4 linked regions of the Saccharomyces cerevisiae S288C genome follow. Changing the gene in region 2 together with the main gene of any one other region gives a genetic interaction. Each region holds a gene or a part of one and is shown on either strand. Other genes may lie near its edges. The genes, in order: ASM4, POM34, NUP188 and NUP133.

The links.
Region 1: mutations in POM34 (region 2) and ASM4 together harm fitness more than expected from each alone (negative genetic interaction), as found in Saccharomyces cerevisiae (7 studies listed by BioGRID, with this or other methods).
Region 3: mutations in POM34 (region 2) and NUP188 together harm fitness more than expected from each alone (negative genetic interaction), as found in Saccharomyces cerevisiae (7 studies listed by BioGRID, with this or other methods).
Region 4: mutations in POM34 (region 2) and NUP133 together harm fitness more than expected from each alone (negative genetic interaction), as found in Saccharomyces cerevisiae (5 studies listed by BioGRID, with this or other methods).

What each region holds. Positions count from the first base shown.
Region 1 is NC_001136.10:297,884-301,934, forward strand, and holds ASM4 (FG-nucleoporin ASM4), read right to left. Parts: upstream 2,121-4,051; coding exon 534-2,120; downstream 1-533. Other genes in the region: NUR1 (Nur1p), read left to right, coding at 1-391; LUC7 (Luc7p), read right to left, coding at 2,331-3,116; YDL086W (carboxymethylenebutenolidase), read left to right, coding at 3,530-4,051. UniProt on the Saccharomyces cerevisiae protein: Functions as a component of the nuclear pore complex (NPC).
Region 2 is NC_001144.5:178,197-181,205, forward strand, and holds POM34 (Pom34p), read right to left. Parts: upstream 1,411-3,009; coding exon 511-1,410; downstream 1-510. Other genes in the region: MEU1 (S-methyl-5-thioadenosine phosphorylase), read left to right, coding at 1-425; PSR2 (putative phosphatase), read left to right, coding at 2,092-3,009. UniProt on the Saccharomyces cerevisiae protein: Functions as a component of the nuclear pore complex (NPC).
Region 3 is NC_001145.3:62,053-69,153, reverse strand, and holds NUP188 (Nup188p), read left to right. Parts: upstream 1-1,604; coding exon 1,605-6,572; downstream 6,573-7,101. Other genes in the region: CAC2 (Cac2p), read right to left, coding at 1-860; MDM1 (Mdm1p), read left to right, coding at 6,832-7,101. UniProt on the Saccharomyces cerevisiae protein: Functions as a component of the nuclear pore complex (NPC).
Region 4 is NC_001143.9:590,963-596,854, forward strand, and holds NUP133 (Nup133p), read left to right. Parts: upstream 1-1,862; coding exon 1,863-5,336; downstream 5,337-5,892. Other genes in the region: MTD1 (methylenetetrahydrofolate dehydrogenase (NAD(+))), read left to right, coding at 1-395; rRNA-binding ribosome biosynthesis protein RPF2, read right to left, coding at 544-1,578; DAD2 (Dad2p), read right to left, coding at 5,459-5,860. UniProt on the Saccharomyces cerevisiae protein: Functions as a component of the nuclear pore complex (NPC).

The sequences.
Region 1 (4,051 bases), on a different chromosome or scaffold from region 2:
ATTTGAGGCATTACCGAAAATGACAGAAAGTGTGCCAGGATCCCGTGAAACCAGAATAAAGGATTATGGAGGCATTTCTCAAGTATCTGACCATCAAAGTCATCCCATTGGTTTTCATTATTCTCCTAGAATGTCCCCATATTATAGGGATAAAGTTTTGGATAACAATTTGGCTCAATCATCGTCAAATGAAAATTTAGAGAAGGGCGGAGCTTACCTGCCGAATCAAGACCAAAATAGACCATCGAAATCCCTGAGCCCATTGAGAAAAACGCCTTTAAGCGCACGACAGAAAAGGTTTGAAGGCTCAGAGTTCAATGTATTGAATAAGAATGATATTAATTCCATTCTTCGCTCTCCAAAGAAAAAGAAGAACTATCACAAAAGATAACGTTTCTTAATTATGTCTAAGTATATACAGTTACGTAAAAATCAATAAACAAAAGTAAAACAATGCTGTTTGAAAAGTTATCAAAATAATAAATGTATGAAGTATTGTAAATGTTCATGAATAATTAGCTGGACGATTTCTGTTATAGGTCATTCCAACCAAATAACCAATTACTCAGTTTGTGCGTAAAACCAGCAGGTTCATTATTTCTGTATTTCGCTTCTTGCTGACGCATTTTCGATTCTAGGTTTCGCAACAGATTAGGAATATTCGAATTCGGTCCTGCATTTTGCATGAATGGCAATTTGCCATCTATTACATCCAGCCGCTTATTCGGAGAATTTGCTACTATTGGACTTGAAATATTTGTTGGATTACCAGCATGACCGGCAGGAGTATTATCGTCTTCCCTCAGAAGAGTGCCATCAGTTATTATTACGTTTGGTGGGGATGGTGTATTAGATGTCGACGATGTGGAGGAATTTTGATACATAGAAACGTTGAATTCTCCAATGTCGTCGACATTATCAATTTTGCAGCCAGCTAATTGCTCCACCGCATTTTTTGAATATGGGATGCAACCAATCAAAGAACCGCGAAATATGGTTCCATTTTCCTGCAGTGCTCTCAAAGCAGAAGATGGAGAATTATAAGTGAGTTTGACCCAACTTTCACCAGTAAATATTGGATATTTTTTGTTATTCGACTCATTATTTCTGCCTTTTAAAGTAATAGATTTATTAACAGTAGAATCGTTTTCATCACAGCCTGTATCATGATTATGGAATATTCTGAAGGTGTTGGGGTTAATCCCGCGACCCAATCGCAATACTTGAAAGTCTTCCATAATATGACCGAAATGGGAGAAGTGTTCAATCAATTCATTGGAAATTGATTCAGGATAGCCAAATACGATAATTGCGCTCAAACTAGAAGACTTGGAAGATGTTTCATGGACTTTATTGTTTGTTTCGGCGGTGTTGTAATTATTATCTAAATGGTTCTGTTCAATGTTTGCTATTCTAACATAAGAGTCTTTATCAAAAACATTTGGAGTATTTTTGGAATCATAAGCTGACCTATTTGTTTTCTTCGCCGTGTATTTGTCGGTAACAAACTGAGTTGTTAATGATGGAATAGAACCGAATTCATCCTCGCGTTGCCAATCCTGTAAAGTAACGGAGGGTGGAATATCGTTAAAATTTGACAACAGAGAATTGATGTCATTATTTGCCGCAGACTTATTTCTTTCATTATGCTTGGAATCTTGATTTTGCTTACTGAAATTTCTCATAGTAGCGTTCATAGAAGATGAATCATCATTCTGGTTGATGTCAGAAGAAGAATTTTGCTTTGTTGTCTTCCTTCTTATCACCGTATGAGGAGTGAATCTCTTTTTAGGATTATTCACCCAGCTAGGATTATTCCCTTGGCCATGTTGGCTTATGTTATTTGTGCCGTTTTTAATGTTGTTGTTGTTGATGCTATTGTTACCGATATTACTACTATAGTTATTGGCGTTTACAGTATTGGAAAGTGAGTTTCCAAATCGTAAAGAACTTGCATCGGATGATCCATTGAATTGCAAGTGTTGCTGCTGTTGTTGTGGTTGCGGTTGCGGTTGTGGCTGCAACTGTGATTGCGATTGAAACATCTGGGTTGTCTGTGGTGCTTGCGACGTGAGGTTAGTAAATCCACCGTTATTATTGCCTGAACGTATTCCAAACATTTTAATTTGCCGTTCCTTGTTTTCAGGTTACAGAGAAAAAAAAAAAAAGAGAGCGAATAAAAAACTTAAATAGATAGGGAAACGATATGTCTACCTTATCGGGAAATAAACTATGCAGAGGTATGTGTGTGATATTCACAAACCTTTCTTCTTTCATAAGTACTCTCCTTCGAACAAAATTTTTCTAGCATCATTTTTTTATGTATGGCCCTACACAAAGCGTCTTCCGGGTAGTGTAGTAGCTGTCTTGCTGGCGTTAGTTGTCCGGTTATTCTTCATTAGCCGATCATAATCCTCTCTCATCTTGACATATCCCAGATGAATCTTCCCCAAGAAGTGGTCAGCAAGCCTTCTGTCTGTATCTAAACGCGATAGGTATGCCCCACACACCTCGCAAACCTGTAACTTTTGCTGGGCGCTCTGGCCCACGTTTTCTGTAATGTTTCGTACACGTTTTGCAACTTCTTTCCTTTTACTAATCAGTTCTTGTAATTTGACTGACTGTAGCATACCCATACTGACTTCATCTGCACGAATTAAAGAATCAATCTCTTGTCCCATTAGGCCTATCCGCACGTCCAAGACATCTAGTTCTTCGGTAACCTGCTGAATCTTCATTCGTTCCTCAGCGGTGTGTTTTAGATTTTGTAGTGCTACGGATATCTGGCCATTACACTCATTAACAAACCGAGATAGAATGGCCAGATATTCTCTTTCGAATTCGGGAAACGTTTTGCCCTGCTTGACCTCTCTCTCGTACTGAATTTTATGCTTGGTAAGATGCATCTGCGGGCATTTTCCCAGGCTCTGCTTGGTGCCCTGAAACAGGTCGTAGGGGCACTCGCCAACAAGGTATGACTTGCAGATCTTGGGATCGTGTAGTCCGAGGTCTCTTTTTTGATGCGAATACCTGTTGTGGCGGAAACTGAAGTCCCTGCCCATCAGCTGTTCGACGAGTTTGCGTTGTTCTGCGGCAGGCGTTGACATAGTTGACATTCTGACGGTAGTTGGCAGCTTTCTGCTGGGAGTGTAGAGCCTTTTGTAGTATAACTTTTTGTTCTTTTCTTTCTTCTCTAATGCCTGAGGCTTCGGCGGTTATTCGGGTAATACATTAAGGAAGTTGCCATGATGTGGAAGAATACGACTAGTCAGTTAGCGATGGCCAGCTCCTTTACCTAAATCATGTGGCCTATCTTCAGATAGCATACTACCACCAACCATCAATACCTCAATGGCTTTCAACAAGTACCCTTCGTCGGGTTTTCAGCTTTTTTCCTACTTTGCTGGATGCTTTGTGAAGATCAGGAAGAAATTTTATCGGAAAAACCTCACTAGGAGAAACTATATAAAAGAAGGGTCAGACTGAAAATGACGCCGTAATAAACTCGTGGTAGTAGATAAAGCAAACAATGTTGATTACTGAGACCTTTCATGATGTGCAGACATCATACGGCACCACTCTGCGTATATACGTATATTCTCCTAAGATTGCAGGCTATCCACAAGCTAAGTTTCCTGGGGTGATTCTGTACAGTGAAATTTACCAAGTGACGGGTCCGGTTCGTCGTTTTGGTCAAAGAATTGCGTCTGAAGGTTACGTTGTGGTGGCACCTGCCATATACCACAACTTTATGGGCCCTGAAGCGTTGCCCTATGACGTGCAGGGTACCGATATTGGTAACGAGTACAAGATCAAGAAGCCGTTAGAATCATACGATGAGGACAACAAACTGTGTTGCGATCTACTTTTCCAGTTACCCCAATTCGATGGTAAGAGAATTGGTTCCACAGGAATGTGTTTAGGTGGCCATTTGGCTTTTAGAGCGCTCCTGGACAAAAGGGTTACCTGCGCAACCTGCTTCTTCCCTACCGACATCCATTCCAGAACCTTAGGTCTTGGCCAGAACGATAACTCTTTGGAACGTGTTTCG
Region 2 (3,009 bases):
ACGACAAGGATATGACCGTTGTGTGTATGGAAGGCCCACAATTCTCCACGCGCGCTGAATCCAAGATGTACAGAATGTTTGGTGGCCATGTTATTAACATGAGTGTTATTCCAGAAGCCAAATTGGCGCGTGAGTGTGAGCTGCCTTACCAGATGATTTGTATGTCTACCGATTACGACGCATGGAGAGATGAGGCAGAACCTGTTACCGTAGAAACCGTTATTGGTAATTTGACGAATAATGGGCGCAATGCAAATATTTTAGCTTCTAAGATCATCGTCTCAATGGCCAAGGAAATCCCAGAGTTCATGCATACTGGCGATGGGCTGCGCGGTTCCATCAAGAAATCTATCTCTACCAAACCAGAGGCTATGTCCAAGGAAACCTTAGAAAGACTAAGATACTTATTTCCAAACTATTGGTAATGGTTGCCGCTAATCATATGTAAAATATAAATAGGAGAGAAAACATATATAGCTATGGAAAGTATTAAATGTTTTTTTGCTGTTTTTATATTTTCCCCCTTGGGGACTGTGAGTTCATCATATATGCATATTTGCTACTTGGAATGTAGCCCTTCCTAGTTACAGGGGTATGCGGCGAGTTATTGTCATTGTTAGCGCTCACTAATGTGCTACTGATACCGCTATGCCTCTGCAGTGTGCCAAATACATTCTTTGTGTGTAAGGATTGAGATTGTAGTTTCGTCTGTTCCTCCGCCATTTCCCTTTGTCTTGCTTTCAAAGGCGTCTCTAAGCCTTTGAAGAGATATGCTGGATGATTTTTGAGATTTGTTTGAGGAATATGTGTTTTGTTCTGTGCCATTTGGCTGATCTTAGAAGTGGATACGTAGTGGGGGTGTTGTGGCTGCAACCCAGTATCGACAGATGATTGCATGTCTACCCCCAGGAGCTTCTTTTGCCTGTCAGTGAGATTCAAATCACTTACTTTGACGGTGGATAAGAGCTTCCAAAGAGAAAACAGTATATTGAGCGAGATTAATAGGTGGAACAAGTAGTCAAGAAGTTCTGCATTCAACCAACTGAACGTGGTGTGATATATGATGTTAGCCTTCTTTAACGTGTGAAATGTCAACATGTACAGATGGATTCTGGATAGCCGGTTGCAAAACTGTCTCCCAACATGAGTGTTGTTCCAAAAGAACTTGATGAACTTCACCAGCAGGTTCCAGAACGCAAACGCAATTACGTTTGTCATAATTCTCTGCGTCTCCATTTCCTTGTTTACCGTTCGCCGTGATAGCTCCTTGAGCACAGGACTTTCAAAGTTGCCCAATTTAAACATTGGTGTGTCATTTTGTGATTGTGATGAGGGTTTGCTGTCTGTGTCCGGCAATGGTCCCGGCACGTCATTATCGTCCAGGCCCAATTGGCCCGCCTGAATCTTCATAGTTCCCTCTATTATTTTTTTGCCTCTGCGGATATATTAAAAGTCTGTATATTGTCAAGTTCTTATAATATAAATCTTTTTGTTCATCATAACCATCTTATTAATTGTTATTATTTCTATCATTATTACTATTAGCACAAATTTCATTTTTTTTTTTTTTCATTTTTCTTTAGACTTTAGCCCTAATTAGACCTGAGAAATATTATTATAACCTGAGAAAGGTTTATAAAAAGAACATTATAACCTACAAAAAAGATACTTAAACCCTGAAGTTAATAGGTTTGGACCCTCTTTTTTTTTTTTTGCTTTTTTTTAGAAAACCTCAGTATTCACAGTCTAAGGAACAGATAAAGAGAAGCTTTATGAAAGCAGTCCACAGTGCCACGAACTTTGACATATATAATTGACTTGTGGGGGCTACCGACTGGCTTATATTTCTAAAATTTAGAGATTTGATTATCTTTTTCGCAGCGCGTAAAAGAAACCCACGAAGCATCGCTTAATTTACACATATTCTTCGTTCTCCCCTTTTGGAGAGGATTTAAGCTAAGATATATCTTTCTTCGAGCGCAGTGCTGCTTTTGAGTTCTTTCGTTTTAATTTTCCACTTATTTGGCAATAAAAACTGAGTGAAGAGTGCTTCTCTGTCTGTTTTAGGGAGCTTTTTCAGATCATCATCAGATGGGATTTATAGCAAATATACTGTGCTGTTCTTCAGATACTTCCAAAACACATCGTCAACGCCAACCACCAGAAACTAATCACAACCGCAACCGCAACCGTAAGCACAGTTCAAACAAAGCTCAAACTCAGGGTCGTAAGCAGAAGGCTACTCCAAACGGCGACAAGATGCAATATTCCACACCGGAGATCCTTTTGTCTAGTTCCGATTCAGGCAGCAATGCGGGTTCCAAGACAATGCAGGAGAATGGGAATAGCGGCAATGGAAAACTAGCACCTTTATCAAGAGATCACTCCAACAACTCGTACGATGAGGAGAAAGAATATGAAGATTATAATGAAGGAGACGTAGAAATGACGGAGGTTAACAATGCCGGAGAAGAAGAAGAAGAAGATGACGAAGCAAAAGAAAAGCAAGACCATGTCGTTCATGAATATAACGTTGACGCAGATAGAAATTCCAGTATTAATGACGAGGCGCCACCACAACAGGGTCTGTATCAGGTGGGTCAAGAAGATATGAATCCACAATATGTCGCCAGCAGTCCTGATAATGATTTAAACTTGATACCTACAACGGAGGAGGACTTCTCTGACCTGACGCATTTGCAACCAGACCAGTACCATGCCCCCGGATACGACACTCTGCTACCACCCAAGTTGCAAGAATTTCAACAGAAAAAATGTCTGATATTGGATCTAGACGAAACTTTGGTACATTCTTCCTTTAAATATATGCATTCAGCTGATTTCGTTTTGCCCGTCGAAATCGATGATCAAGTTCACAATGTCTATGTTATTAAGAGGCCAGGCGTCGATGAGTTCTTGAACAGGGTGAGTCAACTATACGAAGTTGTTGTGTTCACGGCAAGTGTTTCGAGGTATGCAAACCCCCTTTTAGATACGTTGGACCCTAAT
Region 3 (7,101 bases), on a different chromosome or scaffold from region 2:
GCGACTTCATCACCAGCCACCTTATACACACCACTGGGAATTACGACCAAACCACCACAAGGCGATATGCTGCATCGCCTAAAGAATGAAGGTAGCGTCTCGTTGTGAAAAAGGTAATTTGTCCTCAGGACATCACCTGGACAAGGCAGTTCTGCCTTGGCAATCTTACTTCTAAGTTTCAGCCCTGTAACCACTCCTGCAGATGAAAGAATGACTCCATATACATGCAGAGACCGGTCCGCAGACTGTGAGAGAATAAACTGATTTAATGGGTCCCATGCAACACCTTGGACGTAGTGACCATGATCCGACTGGCCGCATACCAGCATCCCAGCTCCAACATCGAACAGTCGTATCGAATTGTCCATACATGCCACCACTATGTTCCTGTTATCAGGTGACCACGCTAGATCGTAAATCTCTGCCGCCGCAGTAGCACCGCTACCACCACGCAGCCGTTTCCACACAACCCATTTCTCCTTGTTCTCGTCTGCTTCACTAGTCTCCGCATCCATTCCGAATGGTCTGACCACAGATTCTTGCTGTGTATTTGGATCTTCTTGCTTCCATAGCAGCACTTGGCCGTCATCGCCCGCAGACGCCAGTACGTCACCCTTCGAGTTGAATCGGATTACATTTATGGCCTGTTCGTGATGCGTCAGCGAGCCAAGAAAGTCAAGGCTTTCAATCTTACGCACCCCCCCATTTTGTCCGTTTTCATCTCTGTTCAACTTCCATATCCTAACCTTGTTATCACCACCAGCGGTGAAAAGCTTGTCGTTCGCACTGTTCTTTTGGAATGTGAGCGAGTAAACGGGTTGTGAATCATGCCAGTAGATTTGCAAATGTGAAGCTTCCATTGTCCTGCCCCTTTGCTCTAAGCTTTTCTGCCTCCTTCTTTTAAATTCTGATACGTACTATAACGCTATAATAATAGCCCATCAGTTAGACAGCGAGTTAACTAACGTGTTCGCCGGGCAACCCAAGGAAATAAGGCGTCCTTTTCACATTTTCATATTTTTTCAAATTTTTTTCAATTCTAATTTTCCTTTTTCTCCCCCACCGTCTATAAAAGCTAGTAGTTTTCTACTTTTCACCACAGAAATCTATTCCTTCGATAACAGTCCCTAAATAAAAACACGACAAAAAGGCCCCACGCAAGCATGTGCAGCAACGGACAGGCGTCGTGCGCACAAACTTGCTCAGGGGCCCGAATACTAGCACATATGTCAAATTCCTAATTAACGTTTTTTATATTCATCGTTTCTTAGAGCCGTAATTGTGCTGATATCAATATCAGGGAAGAACATACCATATAGAGGTGTCAAGTACACCGAACGATCGTGGTGCTCCCTCAGCCACGGGCGTGCTTGGACGCTATTCCCACATATATACGCAAACAATCTATGTCTTCTCCCTCCTTGCCAGAAAGCCGGCTCCTGCTTGTAGTTAAGGTATATATGTATATATTCCGGGTAAGAATATTTTGTAATACCAAAAATTTTCTTCTTGAAATGAATACTTTGAGACATCTTTAATATTCGAACAGAAACACAAATAAAGAGATAACCCTTTCCACCGCTAAAAAAAGGACCCCATCAGCCATGGCTACACCTTCATTTGGCAATTCCTCTCCACAATTGACCTTCACTCATGTTGCTAATTTTATGAACGATGCTGCTGCTGATGTATCCGCTGTGGATGCCAAGCAATTGGCCCAAATAAGACAGTTTTTGAAAGCTAACAAGACAAATCTTATCGAGAGTCTGAACACAATAAGGCAGAATGTAACTTCTTCCGGCGATCATAACAAGTTACGCTCTACAATTGCAAACTTATTGCAAATAAACGTCGATAATGATCCATTCTTTGCTCAATCTGAGGACCTTTCTCATGCTGTAGAATTCTTTATGTCTGAGAGATCATCTAGACTTCATATAGTATACTCACTTCTCGTTAACCCTGACATCGACCTCGAGACATATTCATTTATTGACAACGATAGATTCAATGTAGTGGGGAAATTGATTTCTATAATATCATCTGTAATCCAGAACTACGACATTATTACAGCTTCATCTTTAGCACATGATTATAATAACGATCAAGACATGTTCACAATTGTCTCATTGGTGCAGTTAAAAAAATTTTCTGATTTGAAGTTTATCTTGCAGATATTACAAATTTTGAATTTAATGATCCTCAACACAAAAGTACCAGTAGATATCGTCAATCAATGGTTTCTACAGTATCAAAATCAATTTGTTGAATTTTGCAGAAATATAAATTCAACAGACAAGAGTATAGATACCTCGTCACTACAATTGTACAAGTTTCAGAATTTCCAAGACCTCAGTTACCTCTCAGAAACGCTTATTTCCAGGATTTCATCTTTATTTACTATCACAACTATATTGATACTTGGACTGAACACTTCAATCGCGCAATTTGATATTCAGTCACCTTTGTACATGGATACAGAAACTTTCGACACCGTCAATAGCGCTCTAGAGAATGATGTAGCAACCAATATCGTCAACGAGGACCCCATTTTCCATCCAATGATTCATTACTCCTGGTCATTTATACTTTATTATAGGCGAGCATTACAATCGTCGGAATCATTTGATGATTCAGACATAACGAAATTTGCTCTGTTTGCTGAATCACATGATGTTCTTCAAAAATTGAATACTCTCTCAGAAATTCTATCCTTTGATCCTGTTTACACCACAGTAATAACAGTATTTTTGGAGTTTTCTTTAAATTTTATTCCTATAACTGCATCTACTTCCCGGGTTTTCGCCAAGATAATTTCAAAGGCACCAGAGCAGTTCATTGAGAATTTCTTAACTAATGACACTTTTGAGAAAAAATTGAGCATCATAAAGGCTAAATTGCCCCTATTGAACGAATCACTGATCCCGCTAATTAATTTAGCCTTAATTGATACCGAGTTTGCCAATTTTGAATTAAAAGATATATGTTCATTTGCTGTTACCAAAAGTAGTTTGAACGATTTGGATTATGACTTAATTGCTGATACAATAACAAACTCTTCTTCATCCTCCGATATTATAGTGCCTGATTTGATAGAGTTGAAGTCTGATTTACTAGTGGCGCCACCCTTAGAAAACGAAAACTCTAATTGTCTCTTGTCAATACCAAAATCAACAAAGGGAAAAATTCTTACTATCAAACAACAACAACAACAACAACAACAACAGAATGGACAACAGCCGCCAACTACTTCCAATTTGATTATTTTCCTTTACAAATTCAATGGTTGGTCTTTGGTGGGTAGAATATTGCAAAATCTATTACATTCATATATGGAAAAGGGTACACAACTGGATGACTTACAACATGAATTGATGATATCCATAATAAAGTTAGTCACTAACGTTGTCGATCCGAAAACCTCGATCGAGAAATCTAGTGAAATTCTGTCATATTTATCAAATTCTCTGGATACTTCAGCCAGCACCATAAATGGAGCGTCGATTATCCAAGTAATTTTCGAGATTTTTGAAATATCACTACAAAGAAAAGATTATACCTCAATTGTACAATGTTGTGAATTTATGACTATGCTGACACCGAATTACCTTCATCTTGTTTCTTCTTACTTGAACAAATCGGATTTGTTAGACAAATATGGTAAGACTGGTCTTTCCAATATGATACTCGGTTCGGTTGAATTATCTACGGGGGATTACACATTCACTATCCAATTGCTTAAGCTAACAAAAGTCTTTATTCGAGAATCTCTCTCATTGAAAAATATCCATATTTCCAAGAGAAGTAAAATTGATATTATTAATAAGTTGATTCTACATGCAATTCATATCTTTGAGAGTTATTACAACTGGAAGTACAACAACTTCTTACAAAAATTCGAAATTGCCTTCCATTTGACATTAATTTTTTATGATGTACTTCATGACGTTTTCACCATAAATCCACATCAAAAGGATCAGTTAATCATTTCCTCGTCAGCAAACAAATTGTTGCAGTTATTTTTGACTCCCATGGATTCCATTGATTTGGCTCCAAATACTTTGACGAATATTCTGATTTCACCATTGAATACCACAACAAAAATTTTAGGCGACAAAATTTTGGGTAATTTATATAGCAAGGTAATGAATAACTCCTTCAAGCTGTGCACGCTTTTGATCGCTATTCGAGGTAGCAATCGTGATTTAAAGCCAAGCAACCTGGAAAAATTGCTTTTCATAAATTCATCAAAATTGGTTGACGTTTATACCCTACCAAGTTATGTTCATTTCAAAGTGCAGATCATAGAGTTGTTAAGCTATTTAGTAGAGGCTCCTTGGAATGACGACTATCCATTTCTGTTATCTTTCCTTGGTGAAGCAAAGTCAATGGCATTTTTGAAAGAAGTCCTGTCGGACCTGAGCTCTCCAGTGCAAGATTGGAACCTTCTCCGAAGTTTGTACATTTTTTTTACTACCCTATTAGAAAGTAAACAAGATGGGTTATCTATCCTCTTCTTAACAGGTCAATTTGCCTCCAATAAAAAAATTAATGACGAATCCTCCATAGACAAAAAGAGTTCTATATTAACTGTTTTGCAAAAGAATTCTTTACTATTAGATTCAACGCCTGAAGAAGTAAGTTGCAAGTTATTAGAAACGATAACATATGTTTTAAACACTTGGACAAATTCTAAAATATTCATAAAAGATCCTAAATTTGTGAATTCCTTATTGGCTAAGTTGAAGGACTCAAAAAAATTATTTCAGAAAAAGGAAAATTTGACTCGTGACGAAACTGTTTCTTTGATTAAGAAATACAAATTGATCTCAAGGATTGTAGAAATATTTGCGTTGTGTATTTACAACTCCACTGATTCAAACTCGGAAATTTTAAATTTTTTGAATCAGGAAGACTTGTTTGAATTAGTTCATCATTTCTTCCAAATTGATGGGTTCAATAAAACTTTTCATGATGAATTAAACTTAAAATTTAAAGAGAAATGGCCCAGTTTAGAGCTTCAGTCGTTCCAAAAAATTCCATTATCCAGAATAAACGAAAATGAGAATTTCGGTTATGATATTCCGTTATTAGATATAGTTTTAAAAGCTGACCGTAGTTGGAACGAACCAAGTAAGAGTCAGACAAATTTTAAGGAGGAAATAACAGACGCTTCATTAAATTTGCAGTATGTCAATTACGAAATATCTACCGCAAAAGCATGGGGCGCACTAATCACCACGTTTGTGAAGAGGAGCACTGTTCCGTTAAATGATGGTTTTGTCGACTTGGTAGAGCATTTCCTCAAGTTAAATATTGATTTTGGTTCAGATAAACAAATGTTTACCCAAATATATCTGGAAAGAATTGAGTTGTCGTTTTACATTTTATATTCGTTCAAGTTGTCGGGAAAATTGTTGAAGGAAGAAAAGATAATTGAATTGATGAACAAGATTTTTACAATTTTCAAATCTGGTGAGATTGACTTTATTAAAAATATTGGTAAGTCACTAAAAAATAACTTTTATAGACCTCTTTTGAGATCTGTCTTAGTTCTTCTCGAGTTAGTCTCGTCAGGAGATCGTTTTATCGAATTAATATCTGATCAACTACTGGAATTTTTTGAATTAGTGTTTAGTAAGGGTGTTTATTTGATACTGTCTGAGATATTATGTCAGATCAATAAATGCTCCACGAGGGGTTTAAGCACCGATCACACCACCCAAATTGTCAACTTGGAGGATAATACTCAGGATTTATTGTTATTATTATCACTCTTCAAGAAGATCACCAATGTGAATCCCTCTAAAAACTTCAATGTTATTCTAGCATCATCCCTAAACGAAGTAGGAACTTTGAAAGTTATACTGAACCTATATTCAAGCGCGCATTTGATAAGGATTAACGATGAACCAATTCTTGGGCAAATTACTCTGACCTTTATCTCCGAATTGTGTTCTATTGAGCCAATTGCTGCAAAACTCATCAACAGTGGATTGTATAGCGTTCTATTGGAAAGTCCACTATCTGTTGCAATACAGCAAGGTGATATAAAACCTGAATTTTCGCCTAGATTGCACAACATTTGGAGCAATGGTTTGTTATCCATTGTTCTACTACTATTAAGTCAGTTCGGTATCAAGGTTTTACCTGAGACGTGCCTATTTGTTTCATATTTTGGAAAACAAATAAAATCTACAATATATAACTGGGGTGACAACAAGTTAGCAGTGTCAAGTTCGTTGATAAAGGAAACGAATCAATTGGTTTTATTGCAAAAAATGCTAAACTTGCTAAATTACCAAGAATTGTTTATTCAGCCTAAAAACTCTGATGATCAACAAGAAGCTGTAGAATTGGTTATTGGTCTAGATTCTGAACATGATAAAAAAAGGTTAAGCGCTGCATTAAGCAAGTTTCTAACACATCCAAAATACTTGAATTCAAGAATAATACCTACAACTTTAGAAGAGCAACAGCAGTTGGAGGATGAATCAAGCAGATTGGAGTTCGTCAAGGGTATCAGCAGAGACATTAAAGCATTACAAGATTCACTATTTAAGGACGTTTAACTTATTTTGCAGGTTATGTAAAGCTACATAATATAATAATGAACAGTGCAAGTGCAAGGGTGGCCCTTTGTTGCTATACTGCGGACTGCGACTGTATGAGCTTTTTCCATCCCAGTTCTATCCATTGTGTACTTTTTTTTTTCATCGCCTTACGAACTTCAAAAATATGTAAACAATAAGATAAGTAAATTAACCGAAGACTCTCATGCTTTGAAAGCGCCATAAGTGCGCGTGTTTGTGCCTTCTGATATGATATCGTATGCCTAAGTTTCCACAGTTTCGATTGATTTTAGTTTTGTTTTACTTAATATCAATGATACAATGGTCGGTAATCACTTTTTCGCTGGGGTTCTTTCTTAATGTCTGCATCTTTGCGTACTTCGTATTCTTCAAATCCTTGCCTGATTTACCGAAACCTCAGCCAAGATTTGTTGATATCGTACCGGAAAGTTCGAATACTGTGGATGTTGATAAAGAATTGAAGTCTGTCGAGGGTTTAATACAAGATGGGAACGCGCAAATTGGGAAA
Region 4 (5,892 bases), on a different chromosome or scaffold from region 2:
GTAGACCACTGGCGGCGCTATTAGCCAATGACGGTGCCACAGTATACTCTGTGGACGTTAACAACATTCAAAAATTCACCCGTGGTGAAAGTTTGAAATTAAACAAGCATCATGTGGAAGACCTTGGGGAGTACTCTGAAGATCTGTTGAAAAAGTGTTCTCTTGATTCAGATGTGGTCATCACTGGTGTCCCTAGTGAAAATTACAAATTCCCCACCGAATACATCAAAGAAGGTGCCGTCTGCATCAATTTTGCATGCACCAAAAATTTTAGCGATGATGTCAAGGAAAAAGCTTCTCTTTACGTTCCAATGACTGGTAAAGTTACCATTGCAATGTTGTTGAGAAACATGTTACGTTTAGTAAGGAACGTAGAACTGTCTAAAGAAAAATAGAACATTTGTGGCTGTTCAAATAAGCATAGGTAAAACAGAATACATAAAAATAAGGGAAAAAAAGAAAGATCATTTGTAATGTACTTACTACATACATATAGAATTCTCCTCTCTTAGATTATCATATAATATACAAAGTTTATGGGTCTTATTTCTTCTGTCTTTTAGCAGAGGGCTCAATATCAGTGGCACTGACGAACTCTTCTTCGTATTCTTGTCCATCATCCGAATACGACGCTTCATCTTCGTAGTCTTCATCTACCTCTCCATCACCTTCTTCAGTTCCTTGGTCGAATTTGGATTTCAAACCCTTCATCTTTCTTGTTTGTAGTTTACCCAAATCTTGTTTGCCCATATGGATTCTACCCAATTTATCACCCATGATATCTAATTCTACATTCTTCTTTGTCTTCATTTCTAATTGTTTTGGCTTCTTGTGAGCTTCAGTGACCATATCTGGACTTGGAGTATGAATTCTGCCGATTTTGAAATCTAGACGTGGCCCAATCTCCACCAATTCAATACGTGGTAATCTCTTACCACCTTGGTCGCTTTTATAACTTTTTAATTTGTAAACACGGAATAGAACGTTCGGCAATGGCTCACCATCTTGGAAGTCACCTTGAATGGTCATGGAAATGACATGTTGTAATCCCGCAACATCCTGTAAATCAGTAGATTCGCCTCTAAAGAAATCTAAAAACAAAGATTTAATTTGCTTGTATACGGGATGTGTATCAAATGCAGCACCTTGGAATGTAAACATAGGCTTCAACCCTACAGTAAATGTTAATTTCTTAAAATCAGATAACAACTTGAAATTATCTGCAACCATTAGTTCAATCATATCATATATTTTGTAGCCAAATGTACGTATAAAGGTCATGTTGTTTTTACGCTTTTTGGAACTTGTCATCAGCACCATCAATGAACAGTCATTCTTTTCACTAAAGAACTCTAGTGGCGACATGTCTTCGAAAGGATGAATATCATTCTTACGATTGAACCTCTTCATATCTGGCTTCTTCAAGGCACTCAAATCTACCATAATATCGTGCAGATTCTTGTTACAGCTTTGCCCTGGAATGAATAGCGCTTGCTTGACATTCTCTACCAACTTAGCTTCCCTCTTTACCAAAGCTCTCTTGGCTCTTGCATTCTTGGGTTTTACGGTTCTAATCATTTTTTCTGCCAGTGTTCTCCTGCGCTTTTGGATATGATAACTTCAATACAACTCATCGATATACCAAATCACTTTCCAATAATGCATTACACTATAAGAAAATTCGATCCTTAGCTCATCGCAAAAAAATGAAAAATTTTCAAATCGTATAAAACGATATATTTGAGGATTTAGGAATCAAAATAGCAGAATAAACCAAAACATACACCATTTAGGAATAAGGTTTAGAGGAGCTCGAGCATACTGTTACATCCAATTCAAGTGAAGTACATTAGGATAGCCATATGAGTGAAAAAAAAGTACATCTTCGTTTGCGGAAGGAACTTAGCGTACCCATTGCGGTGGTTGAAAACGAATCCCTGGCGCAGTTGTCTTATGAAGAGGAAAGCCAGGCCTCTCTAATGGACATTTCCATGGAGCAGCAACAGTTAAGGTTACATTCGCACTTTGATAATTCCAAGGTTTTCACAGAAAATAACAGATACATAGTAAAAACCCTTCAAACAGACTACAGTAGCGGATTCAGTAACGATGACGAATTGAATGGATATATCGATATGCAAATTGGATATGGACTAGTCAATGACCACAAGAAGGTTTACATCTGGAATATTCACTCCACTCAAAAGGATACGCCCTATATAACTGTACCATTTCGTTCTGATGATAATGATGAAATAGCAGTCGCGCCCAGGTGCATACTAACTTTCCCTGCTACAATGGATGAGTCTCCATTAGCACTGAATCCTAATGATCAGGACGAAACCGGAGGGCTTATCATTATCAAAGGTAGCAAAGCGATATATTATGAGGATATCAACTCCATAAATAATTTGAACTTTAAGTTATCTGAAAAATTCTCTCACGAGTTAGAATTACCCATCAACTCTTCGGGCGGAGAGAAGTGTGACCTAATGTTAAACTGCGAACCTGCTGGTATAGTGCTTTCTACAAATATGGGCAGAATATTTTTTATAACCATTAGAAATTCCATGGGTAAACCTCAACTGAAGTTAGGCAAACTATTAAATAAACCTTTCAAATTGGGTATCTGGTCCAAAATTTTCAATACAAACAGTTCAGTTGTCTCATTACGAAATGGACCTATCCTCGGTAAGGGGACAAGGTTAGTATATATTACTACTAACAAAGGAATTTTTCAAACATGGCAGTTGTCTGCCACGAATTCCCATCCAACAAAATTGATTGATGTAAACATTTACGAAGCCATTTTAGAGTCGCTCCAGGATTTGTATCCATTTGCTCATGGTACGTTGAAGATTTGGGACTCTCATCCATTACAAGATGAAAGTTCACAACTTTTCCTGTCATCTATTTACGACAGTTCATGCAATGAAACATATTATATTCTTTCCACGATTATCTTCGATTCTTCTTCTAATAGTTTTACTATTTTTTCCACTTATAGATTGAACACTTTTATGGAGTCAATAACCGACACAAAGTTTAAGCCTAAGATATTTATACCTCAGATGGAGAATGCTAACGATACCAATGAGGTAACTTCCATTTTGGTAATGTTCCCCAATGCTGTTGTCATTACTCAGGTGAACTCAAAATTGGACTCTAGCTATTCAATGAGAAGAAAGTGGGAAGATATTGTTAGCCTTAGAAATGACATTGATATAATTGGTTCTGGTTACGACTCAAAATCTTTGTATGTTTTAACGAAACAAATGGGGGTGCTACAGTTTTTTGTGAAAGAGAATGAGGAAACAAATTCTAAACCGGAAGTTGGGTTTGTCAAATCTCATGTTGATCAAGCTGTTTATTTCTCCAAAATAAATGCAAATCCCATAGATTTCAATTTACCTCCAGAAATTTCACTAGATCAAGAATCTATAGAGCATGATTTAAAATTAACCAGCGAGGAGATTTTTCATTCCAACGGCAAGTACATACCCCCTATGCTAAATACGTTGGGGCAACATCTCTCTGTCCGTAAAGAATTTTTTCAAAATTTCCTGACATTTGTTGCTAAGAACTTCAACTATAAAATATCACCCGAACTGAAATTGGATCTGATCGAAAAATTTGAGATCTTGAATTGCTGTATTAAGTTCAATAGTATCATCAGACAATCTGATGTATTGAACGATATATGGGAGAAGACTTTATCAAACTATAATCTGACACAAAATGAACACTTAACTACTAAAACAGTTGTAATCAACAGTCCCGACGTATTTCCAGTAATCTTTAAACAATTTTTAAACCATGTTGTGTTTGTTTTGTTCCCATCACAAAATCAAAATTTCAAACTAAATGTTACCAATTTAATCAACTTATGCTTTTATGATGGAATTCTTGAAGAAGGTGAAAAAACTATAAGGTATGAACTTTTGGAGTTAGACCCGATGGAGGTTGATACATCCAAGCTACCATGGTTCATAAACTTTGATTACTTAAACTGTATCAATCAATGTTTTTTTGATTTTACATTTGCGTGTGAGGAGGAAGGAAGTCTGGATTCTTATAAAGAGGGCTTGTTAAAGATTGTGAAAATTTTATATTATCAGTTCAACCAATTTAAAATATGGATCAACACGCAACCCGTTAAATCTGTGAACGCCAATGATAATTTTATAAATATCAACAATCTTTATGATGATAACCACCTGGATTGGAACCACGTCCTTTGTAAGGTAAATCTAAAAGAACAGTGTATTCAAATAGCAGAATTTTACAAAGATTTATCTGGATTGGTGCAAACATTACAAACTTTAGATCAAAATGACTCAACAACCGTATCGCTATACGAAACATTCTTCAACGAATTCCCTAAAGAGTTTAGCTTTACATTATTTGAATATTTAATCAAGCATAAAAAATTGAACGACCTCATCTTCAGGTTCCCACAACAACACGATGTTTTAATACAGTTTTTCCAAGAGTCCGCTCCAAAGTACGGTCATGTAGCATGGATCCAACAGATTCTGGATGGGTCGTACGCAGATGCCATGAATACTTTAAAAAACATTACTGTTGATGATTCAAAGAAGGGCGAAAGCTTGAGCGAATGTGAATTGCACTTGAATGTTGCAAAATTAAGCTCGTTGCTAGTTGAAAAGGATAATTTGGACATTAATACTTTGAGAAAGATCCAATATAATTTAGATACAATTGATGCTGAGAAAAATATTTCAAACAAATTGAAAAAGGGCGAAGTTCAGATATGTAAACGCTTCAAGAATGGCTCTATCAGGGAAGTTTTCAACATATTAGTGGAAGAGCTTAAATCAACAACAGTAGTCAATCTATCGGATCTCGTTGAGTTGTATTCTATGCTCGACGATGAAGAGAGCTTATTCATACCGCTAAGGCTTCTTTCTGTTGATGGAAACTTACTGAATTTTGAAGTTAAAAAGTTCTTGAATGCTTTGGTATGGAGAAGAATCGTTCTACTAAATGCTAGTAATGAAGGAGATAAACTGCTTCAGCATATAGTCAAACGTGTTTTTGATGAAGAACTACCCAAAAATAATGATTTCCCCTTGCCCAGTGTGGATCTTTTATGTGACAAATCGTTACTGACGCCAGAATACATAAGCGAAACATATGGCAGGTTTCCTATTGATCAGAATGCCATACGTGAAGAGATATATGAAGAAATATCTCAAGTGGAAACGTTGAACTCAGACAACTCACTCGAGATAAAGTTGCACTCGACTATTGGTTCTGTAGCGAAAGAAAAAAACTATACCATCAACTATGAAACCAACACTGTAGAATACTAATATCTATAATACAATTTTACATATATATAATAAACTTTACTGGGGAATGATAATAATAAATATGTATATGCTATTATCGCAACTGCCTTCTTCCGATTTATATAAGATCCTTTTCTTTCTGTTCATTCGTTACCATCTACCCTAATTCTGACCATTGTTTCCGGCAAGGGTACCAGATCTTCATCCTCATCATTATCTTCATCATTCTTATCATTTTCTTGCGCTTCAAGACCTGTTTCATTTGATTGTTCAGATTCCTTTTTCTTAGAATCTTTCCACGGTCCTATCTCATAATCACCCTCTGCATATTGCAATAATCCCAAACTTGCTTGCGATATATTGTTTATTATAGAATCCCAATTGTTCATCAATTGGGCCACTGAATCCGCATTCATTCCCATTTCTTTGATCTGCTCATTCAACTCTGTTAGCTGAATTTTTAAGCCATCCGTTAAACTGGTTATCTTTTGTAATGACTGAAGTTCTTTTCGCTTTATAGCAATTTGTTCATCTATTGAATCCATAATAACTGTCTGAATTATGAGTTTTTCAAACC